2 linked regions of the Arabidopsis thaliana genome follow. The protein of the gene in region 1 interacts with the protein of each later gene in a pairwise test. Each region holds a gene or a part of one and is shown on either strand. Other genes may lie near its edges.

Region 1 (4,650 bases):
TCTGTCTTGTTTGTTTATATGAATTACCAAGAACGGTTGTTCCTTTATGGTTTTTTGCAGATTGTGGCTCATTTCACTGCATTATGGTGTATTCCTTCTGTGTTTATGAACTCCTTCTTCGAAGAGCTTGCGTTTAACTATAAGGATGCTCTGTTTCTAATAGTTGATGTTGATGAAGTTAAGGTAAAACTACTTATGTGTCTCTCTACTTGATATGTCTTTCTACTTTGGCTTCTTTGTTGAAGAGAAGTGTTTAACCATCAAGAGTAAAAGATTTAAACAGTTGCTAAATTGGTAGATGATTAATGGTTTTTCTTTGTTTTTTACTATGTTGGATTGGTCAGGAAGTGGCAAGTCAACTAGAGGTAAAGGCGATGCCAACTTTCTTGTTCTTGAAGGATGGTAATGCGATGGACAAACTCGTGGGCGCAAACCCTGATGAGATTAAGAAACGGGTCGATGGTTTCGTTCAGTCCTCACGTGTTGTTCATATTGCTTAAGAGAGATTTATAGATACGAGCAGAATACTAAATAAAGTTTGTGTGAAGTGTAATTAGTTTGTAACTTTGGTATTTGGTTTGTGTGAAATATCAAGTGTAAGTGTAAATTTTTATAAAAGCAAGTTCTGTTATAAACAAGAACTGGATTTATTTAATTTTGGTTCTTAACAGGGTAATTTGAAACCCATGTAGCGACCAGAGACAAAATCATTCCAAACATTAAAAGCTCCATGGGTTGTCATCAGTACAGTGCTAAGTGCCATGACGATACCAACTGCAAACACAATGATCGAAGCCCTCCCATACTTGGCTATAACCTTCTTAACCACCATTAGTCCAACCAGTGATGCCACGAAACAGACCAGAGCAAATATCGCAGCGGTTCCAGCATGTTCCATGCCTAGTAGTAGGTACTGGATTGCAGACATTGATGAAGAAAACAAAACCATGAACGAACATGTAGCTGCAGTTACCTGTAGAGAGAGCACGATTAACTTAAGAATCCAATTGCTTGTTTTGGTAAAACTTTGGTTCTGATGCTGCTAGAGAACAAGACTCAAGAACGTACCTCTGGAGCAATACCGATTTGGAGAAGAAGAGGACTAATGAGCATTCCACCACCAATACCAAAGAGGCCACCCAAAACTCCAGCCAAGAGAGCCATTACAGGGAGCATCAACTTGTTTTGTCTTCCTCCAACTCCAGTCTCCTGTGGAGTAATTTCAGTTTCATATTCATCAAACCTGTTGACTTTTGACCAACAGAAAAGCTAATTTAATCAACAGCAAGTAGTATGTATTGGACCTGTTCAGAGTTTTGGTTACTATGCGATGTGTGGTTGCTTTGAACATTGTCACTGAAGTAAATGCAGAGAGTAAAGAAGATAGTGAGAGGTATTTGAAGCGAGGAGAGGAACCAGTAGAGAGCTCCACATGGCTTGATCGATATGATTCCCTGTGCAAATCCAAAGTATATCAACTTCTTACTTCTACATGCCATTAAGATTTCAATAATTTGGAAAGAATTATAACACTTCAAGGAACGTTCAAATAAGTGGAGGGAATGTGGAAACAGAGCAATGAGAGCATTGAGATAGAAAAATATTCAAATCAATCGACCAAAAATCATAAATACGCGTTTAGATACTTAAATTCATACCTGACCGTATTTGTTTCCGCGGAAAAGATTAATAGAGAAGAACAATAACCAAATGATCACTAAAACTCCAAGCTTCATCCATGGAAACCTAATCATCCCTCTCTGTCTCACATCTTCTCTTTCTTCACTCAGAAGCGGCGATCTCGCTACCTCGATGCCATCAACGTCTCTTGGACTCTTAATCTTCGCTCTTTCCGACTCCAAATTCCAGTAAGAAACTCCCTTTTTACAAGTCTTCATCGTTGACCAGGCGAGGAACACAGCGAAGAGAAACAACACAAGCCAATTTGGGAACATACGGTTACAGATCACACCAATACTTACTCCGAGAAGTAGACATGGCTGAATAGTAAGAGCTAAATCGAAGTCGATTAGGGTTTTGTCTCTTGATTTAGGGTTTCTCAGGAAAAGATTGCATCCCACGTTAGCGAAAGAGACGCCGGTTACCATGAACGCTGAGAAGCTTGAAGCTGTTTTCATTTCGAGACCGGCGATGATTGTCATTATCGAGAGGAAGAGTCCACCGCCGCCGATTCCTCCGGCGCTGGAGATAGAGGCGGCGAAGAACGAGAGAACGGCGGCGATTATGGTGGGGATGGAGACTTCAATAGTTGATTGGCTGAGGTCCTCCGAGAAATGGAGCCATTGGCTTGTTGTGCTGCGGATTTGACTCTGGTCTGCAAGGGCGGATGGATTGAAGATGGTGAAGATGGTGATTAGGGAGAGGAGAAGAGGGACTAAATTGATCGTCATTTTCTTTACTTAGGGGGTTGTTTGTAACCTTTTGAAAGTTTTGGGGTTTATTTTTGTTTGGAACGTTAGAAATTTTATGCTCATTTATTGTTTGGTTTATACTTATATATGAATCAATAAAGGGTTTAGTCAACTGCAATTCTAATACAAGGTATTTATTACGGAATTAATTAATTTAAGACAATTTGGTGAAATAAAAAACTAAAGATGACAAATGCAATTATTTTTCCTATGTTTTTGTAGATCTAGTAGTATTATTTTTATTGAAATATTTATTCAAAGGAGCTTCTTTCCCATATCCTCTAGATTTGTTTTTGTTTTAGGTACTTGTAAAAAGTGGTAATAGCATTATGTATTTATTAGCTGAAAAAATAAAGACTATGGCACCAAGTTATATTTGTCTTTCTTTTACATATCAATTTTTGGAAATTAATTAAGAGAAAGGGAGAAAAGTTTGAATATTTGCATACAAGTTTGGAAAGAAATACTTGTGCTATGTGTAAATGTCCTTTGACTATCAAGACGAGAAATGGGCTAGAAACATATATGGGAGACAAGTTCTAGAGGAAAAATGATGTTAGCAAGCTTAGTTGACATTGTGGTTCAAAGTAAGTTTACGAACATATTTAATTTATAGTGTGTAAGAAAACGTACTATTTATTTTATCCCACCAGTATGTCATATTATTATTTTTATACCCAAAAGTGAGGCAATCGTAATAAAATGCAAGAAATTCAAAATTGTCAATCAAAAATGAATTGTTTTTCAAATTAAAAATGCGATAAATAGTGTTCATCACTTGGCACGTAAAAGGTTGACTTTTAATATCGGAATGAATCCGGACATAACACATGTCCAACTTGGCATATTTAGCAAACTTGGACTATTTATTAGAAGATAGTGTTTATAGAAGAAATGTACATTAAAAAACGGTAAATCGCTAATCCTAGGCCTATCCTCACGATTGTGATGTAATGTAACCCACTTCCGTTGATTTCTTCAAAGAAATCAAAAGTTGTGGGTTCTTCTAGAGATGCTACTACTACAACGATCGATGGACGATTGTCATTGATGTTATCGAATGGTAAATCGGACAAAAGTTTCTGGATATGCTCTCTTATAATATCACAATCACAAATGCTATTTCTTTTCAATAAGGTATTTGGGCTTCATTAGTAGCTGTAGCTGAACCTTTTGTTTGTCACATGTCTTTACTCTTATGCTCATCCATGTTCGTTTATATTTTTGACCCACTGTTCTGTTCTGAGACCTTAAGTGTAAGAAGAATTCTCAAGTTAATATACATCTTAAAAAGCAGTTATGAAATATAGCCGACTAAATAAATAATTAATTAAATAAATAAACAGAGGATATAGTCCATAACAAAATAAGAAATGCCAAAAAAAAGAGAGTAAAATTATTACATAAACCATTTCCACTTTAATACACTCAAAACAAAATTGATTTTAAGCCCAAGGGCTAATGGAACACTCCCAAGGAAGAGTAGGGAACCTCTCACTGTCTTTGCAATAATCGTATACGACGAGATTACGCTGCACCCACGCATAATCCATCTTCTGTGTCTTGGACAAATGCCACGCGTCGTACTGATCCCACCAATTCTCTGTTGTGGTAGAGACGCATGCAGGGAATGGATCCTTCCAACGGCAGCCTTCGACGGCGAAGTCCTTGTAAGAAGAGACGAATGGAGCTTTTTTCCAGTCAGTCTTCTCCAGACCACCACGTGTAGCCCAATCGTCAGCGTTCCAAATGCTGGAGAACAAGTACATCGGCTTCTGGTTCGGGAAGAAGTCGTTGTTTGGTACCTTATCACTGTTCTTGTATACTCGAATTGGTACCCTATCCACGAAGAACCTGGTTTGGATTGGATTAAACCGGGTTATGCATTGTACCAATCGATAAAATTAGCTTTGATTGACCAATTCGGTTCGAGTTGGTCTAGTTTGAGTTCTTTAAAGTTTGGTTAAGATAGGCTTGCTTTGGTCGGTTTGAACTTTAAACCAGATTGGAATTTTTGTGTCGGTCGAAATTTGAATCTGCACCATTTAAGTTTTCTCAAAGCTAAACGTAAGAAAACAGGATTGAACCTATTGTGAAATTAATCTGTAAACTGAATTATGTTATTGTGAGTGGAATGTTGGTTCTAACTTCGAACCGATCATAAACCTAAGGTTCCGGTTTCTACCCAAAATTCCCGGTACAGTTCGTGGTATCTCTA
Region 2 (4,578 bases), on another chromosome or scaffold:
GGAGAAAGAGAGAATTGGCTTCCAAGCTATGGATTGTGTCTTAGAAGCTGCTTCACATGGACTCAACCAAGGCTCATGAACAAAAAAAAAAGTCATCAATCTTATGAGTTGATTTCGGAATTGTTTTGGCTTCATCTTTTTTTTTTTTTTATGTTTGTTTTGTTGTTGTTTAAACTGTTTCGATGACTCTTTGTATATGGTGGGAGTTTTCTTTTGATTATGTAATGTTTTTTTTATAATTACTTTTCTTCTTTTGGATTAATGATTATTCCTGAGGTGGAGACTTTACTATATATAGAGAGAATGAGTTGGAAGATGGAACTTGGGAACAAATCGTCGTGGAATACGAGGTGTATTAGACTTTCAGTTGTGCAAAGGGACAAAACAACATGATCTGTTAAAATTTCTTTGTTTATACACCACAAATTAATGCATACACACACAGTATACATGTGTAACGTTTTTGATGTTCCCGTGAAAATAGATGTGTATTTAGAGCCTAGATGGATAGATTATGATTGGATGAAACATTTGTAATATTTTGACAAAAGTTTACCATTTACGTTAAATGTAATAGAATGAACATTCCTCTAAAAAAAAACTCCCTAAGCAAAAAATTACTATAAGGATGAATGGTATATCGCTTAGTCACGTTTTCAAACGCTATTTTTTTACATTCAAAATATTTATCAAATTTTTTTCGATTTCACGTTTTCGAAAAGTAATTCGGCTGTATACTACTAGGCTACTAGCATGTCAATATACCTAGAAAAAAACATGATTAATCCACTAGAACTATATTTTCATCCATTAAACTAATTTATTCAGTTCAATTCATTCCACTAATAATTATTCAGTTATTCCGTCATTTCACTATAATTATAAGTTATAGACAAGTTTTTTTTACTAACATGTTATAGCTATCCTTCAAAAATGGTACTTAGCAATAACATCTTATAGCTATTCTGAACATCCATAATGTTTTGTCATCCAATTTTGTTCTTCAAAATAAACAAGTTAAAATTAATTTCTCGTCTTCAATTCTAAATAATTGGCTCCACTGATGAAAGCCCATAACCCATATGGAAAAACGTGCATTTCAGCATTTGTGTAGATAGCGATATTTTGTTCGACTACACAGAAAGTTTTTTTTCTTTTTGACTACCAAAGAAATTTGATTCATAGTATCTTCGAGTTAGGTACCAAAACATGTAAAACAGTCTCGTCTTAAACCGTCCAATACGACTTCATGACCGACAAAATTAAATCACACGGCCAGTTTTGACGCGTGAGACAACAACCTACTATTGAGGATTTGGCTAAACACTCGCCACAATGCTTCTATTGTATTGACAATATTTGTGTTTATTTCATTTGTTATTAATAAAGACAAATATCATAAGTAATAATTGACTACTACTAATCCATAATTTAAAATGTTATTTTTTTTGAACCAAGGACTACATAACTAACAACTTGTGACTAAAGATTACAAAACATGTTTTAGTCGTTATTTTTAATCATTATAGTTTATAGTAATCGCTATTATTCGTTGTTATTGCTAACTATGAAATGAACATGGTTGTACATTTTGTCCCATCACTACCACCAAAATTTTTGGATTTTGTTGAAAAAAGGGAGACTAACCATGGTTTACAAAGAATCTATGAAATACTAACGAAACTATACACAATTATCGACTTTATTATTAAGAGACATCGTCTACAATATATGAAGGTCAGCGTGTAACATATTTTTGTTTTTGGGGCGTTTTTAGTATTTTAGACAAATATAGGGATTTATCGTAATTTCGATAATCTTGTGGTTTTTTTAGTTATAAGTCTCCTCTTGTCATATTCACGAGCCGTATAAAAAAGTTGTTTCTTTCTTCTCTGTTTTTTTGCTTTCGTCTTCAAGAGAGAGAGAGAGAGAGATACAAAGAGAGAAATTTGGTTGTTTGTTGACGGAAGCTTCTTCGGTCTCTCTTCTCCGTCTTACGATTGTCAACGCGTGGTTCCATCTTCAATTTTGTTTCTATTTTAGCAGAAGTTTCTCGAGCTTCAAATACTGTTTCAGATCAATCAATCAGTCAATCATGGCTAGCTCTGGAAACAAGAACATCAACGCCAAATTGGTCAGTTTAATTCTTCTGGATTTTGCTTATCCTTTGAAGGATGATCGTCAATTTTGATTAGATCGTTGATTTCGATGAGTTAGTTCTGTTTCCAATTTGGGGAATTTTCAACCAAATTCTCTGATCTGAAATTGGATGATTGTGATCGAATTAGAAATCGCATGGTTTATCAGTATAAAACTAGGGTTTGGAGTAAAGGTTATAGATTTTATTCGATCTGGTAGTTTTGTTTTAGGGTTCTAACGAGTCAGAAGAAAAATCTGTTTTTTTCCCCCTTTATTTTGTTTTTGGTGGTTAACTTGGTTAAGCGCTTCAGGTATTACTAGGAGATGTTGGAGCTGGAAAATCAAGTCTTGTGCTACGGTTTGTGAAAGATCAGTTTGTTGAATTTCAGGTTGGTTGGTGGCATTTTCCTCCTGTGATCTTGATAGAGGTTTTCTTCTCGTTCCTGTGGTTGATTCTTGACTTTTTGATACTCGTTTTGTTGTAGGAATCAACCATTGGTGCAGCTTTTTTCTCTCAAACATTGGCTGTGAATGATGCGACTGTGAAGTTTGAGATATGGGATACAGCTGGTCAGGAACGATACCACAGTTTGGCTCCAATGTACTACAGGGGTGCAGCTGCTGCTATTATTGTCTTTGACATTACTAATCAAGTACGAACTCACGATCCTTGTGTTTTTAGTCACGAATGCACTGACTTACAGAATATCAGTGGACTTTAGTGGCAGTTTAAGGCTCTCTGCAAAGTTAGGTTTGCTTAATTTTTGTTTTTCTATTGCCACAGGCCTCATTTGAGAGGGCGAAGAAATGGGTTCAGGAACTGCAGGCACAAGGTATGGAATAGCTGACTTTGGTTTTAGCTAGTTTATGATTCCTACTTTCTGATAGTTGGTGTGGTTTATTTGGTATCATTATATGTTAATGTGGATCATGTGAATAGGTAACCCTAATATGGTGATGGCTCTTGCTGGAAACAAAGCTGATTTATTAGACGCAAGGAAGGTGTCTGCAGAGGTAAACTAAATCTTTCTTTCTTTTGCTGTCTGATTTTGCTTTGCTAATGCCAAAAATCTTGATGAAATTCGAAAGTACCGGGAGAAAATGTTAACTAACACTCGGGGATGAGATTCGACTGGTGCCTGTGAAATCTTCTATTACATCACCTACCGACTTGTTTTTTTCATTACTGAGTTGTGTTGTTAAGTAGTTCTTGATATTGTTATTTACAGGAGGCAGAGATATATGCTCAAGAGAACAGCCTTTTCTTTATGGAAACCTCAGCGAAGACCGCAACAAATGTCAAAGACATATTCTACGAAATAGGTGAGTCATTCTTTCATCAAGAAAGCTATTTCCAACAATTAGTTGTTTTCAATTAAATCCCTTTTTCACTTTTGTTTCTCTTGTTCAAACCGCTACAGCGAAAAGGCTACCACGTGTACAGCCAGCTGAAAACCCGACAGGAATGGTTCTCCCAAACGGGCCAGGGGCTACGGCAGTGAGTTCATCGTGTTGTGCTTAGATTCGTACCTGAAGAGAGATCTCATTTGGTTAGTCACATAGTAGAGAACATCTGGACTTTCATGTGTTTGCTTCTTCTTCGTCTTTGTTACTTTACTTTGCTTGCATTGACAACAACAACAGTGTATATCATGATGATACTTATTCTGCCTTTGTGAAATCTGAAGATATTTGTATTTGGAGAGATTTATATATATATATCTCTTTTGTAATTAGAAAACAAAACTTAGTCCGAAAAAAATGTGCTTATCTTTCGTTTATGTTTTAAGTGAATGCTCAGATTTATAGGCTTATTATCTTTTGTATTACTTAAATCTCCAAAATGTTTTTTCCATTGTTGGAATGCTGTAATATGAATGTATATATCAATAAAAGAAACACCTTTGAAAAAAAAAAGTGGCATTGCTTCTCTCTCCCTTCTCTTCTTTCATCTTTCAAAGAGAAAGAAGTTTTTCCGTTCAGATTTTGCCGGCGTTCTTCTCCAATGACTTTGGTCTCACTTCGATAGCATCTTCGTCCGGCTATGAATTAAGTGGAATGATATTCTTGTCAAAGCTTTCGATTTCCAATTGATGAACTGCAACTTGAAGATTGAAAAGCTGTTGTTTGAAGAAGAAGATTCACAAATTTGAATAAAGTGGAGTCATATTCTCGTCAAAGCTAAAATATGAATTTCGCCTTTGTATCTTTGGGCCAAGATTGAGATCTGCCGATTGAACAAATTTTGGCCGGAATTGAAACTTTCCAACGTCTCAAAGACGTCACAACGATCTGTGGGTGATCGGAGACTCCCATCCCTTCCACTTCCCACGTGTCTTCCAAACCTGTTTCCCATTTGCAACATGTTTTATATGTTGTGTACAACAAGCTTTTCCTTTAGTTGGACTTGTTTGTTTCAGTATTTGTGAAATATTGACC

What was found.
Region 2: the proteins of AT1G11540 (region 1) and RHA1 interact in a protein complementation assay, tested with the Arabidopsis thaliana proteins (one large-scale study listed by BioGRID).

What each region holds. Positions count from the first base shown.
Region 1 is NC_003070.9:3,874,812-3,879,461, forward strand, and holds AT1G11540 (Sulfite exporter TauE/SafE family protein), read right to left. Parts: upstream 2,513-4,650; 5' UTR 2,412-2,512; coding exon 1,659-2,411; intron 1,455-1,658; coding exon 1,305-1,454; intron 1,210-1,304; coding exon 1,069-1,209; intron 974-1,068; coding exon 665-973; downstream 1-664. Other genes in the region: CXXS1 (C-terminal cysteine residue is changed to a serine 1), read left to right, coding at 61-183, 345-500; XTH8 (xyloglucan endotransglucosylase/hydrolase 8), read right to left, coding at 3,878-4,286.
Region 2 is NC_003076.8:18,242,400-18,246,977, forward strand, and holds RHA1 (Ras small GTP-binding family protein), read left to right. Parts: upstream 1-1,863; 5' UTR 1,864-2,095; coding exon of another isoform or gene 2,096-2,134; 5' UTR 2,135-2,269; coding exon 2,270-2,332; intron 2,333-2,450; coding exon 2,451-2,528; intron 2,529-2,624; coding exon 2,625-2,792; intron 2,793-2,923; coding exon 2,924-2,972; intron 2,973-3,079; coding exon 3,080-3,153; intron 3,154-3,368; coding exon 3,369-3,462; intron 3,463-3,560; coding exon 3,561-3,661; 3' UTR 3,662-4,051; downstream 4,052-4,578. Other genes in the region: AT5G45120 (Eukaryotic aspartyl protease family protein), read left to right, coding at 1-79. UniProt on the Arabidopsis thaliana protein: Involved in the trafficking of soluble cargo proteins from the prevacuolar compartment to the central vacuole. Involved in vacuolar transport of storage proteins with EREX as effector. Regulates membrane trafficking to protein storage vacuoles (PSVs).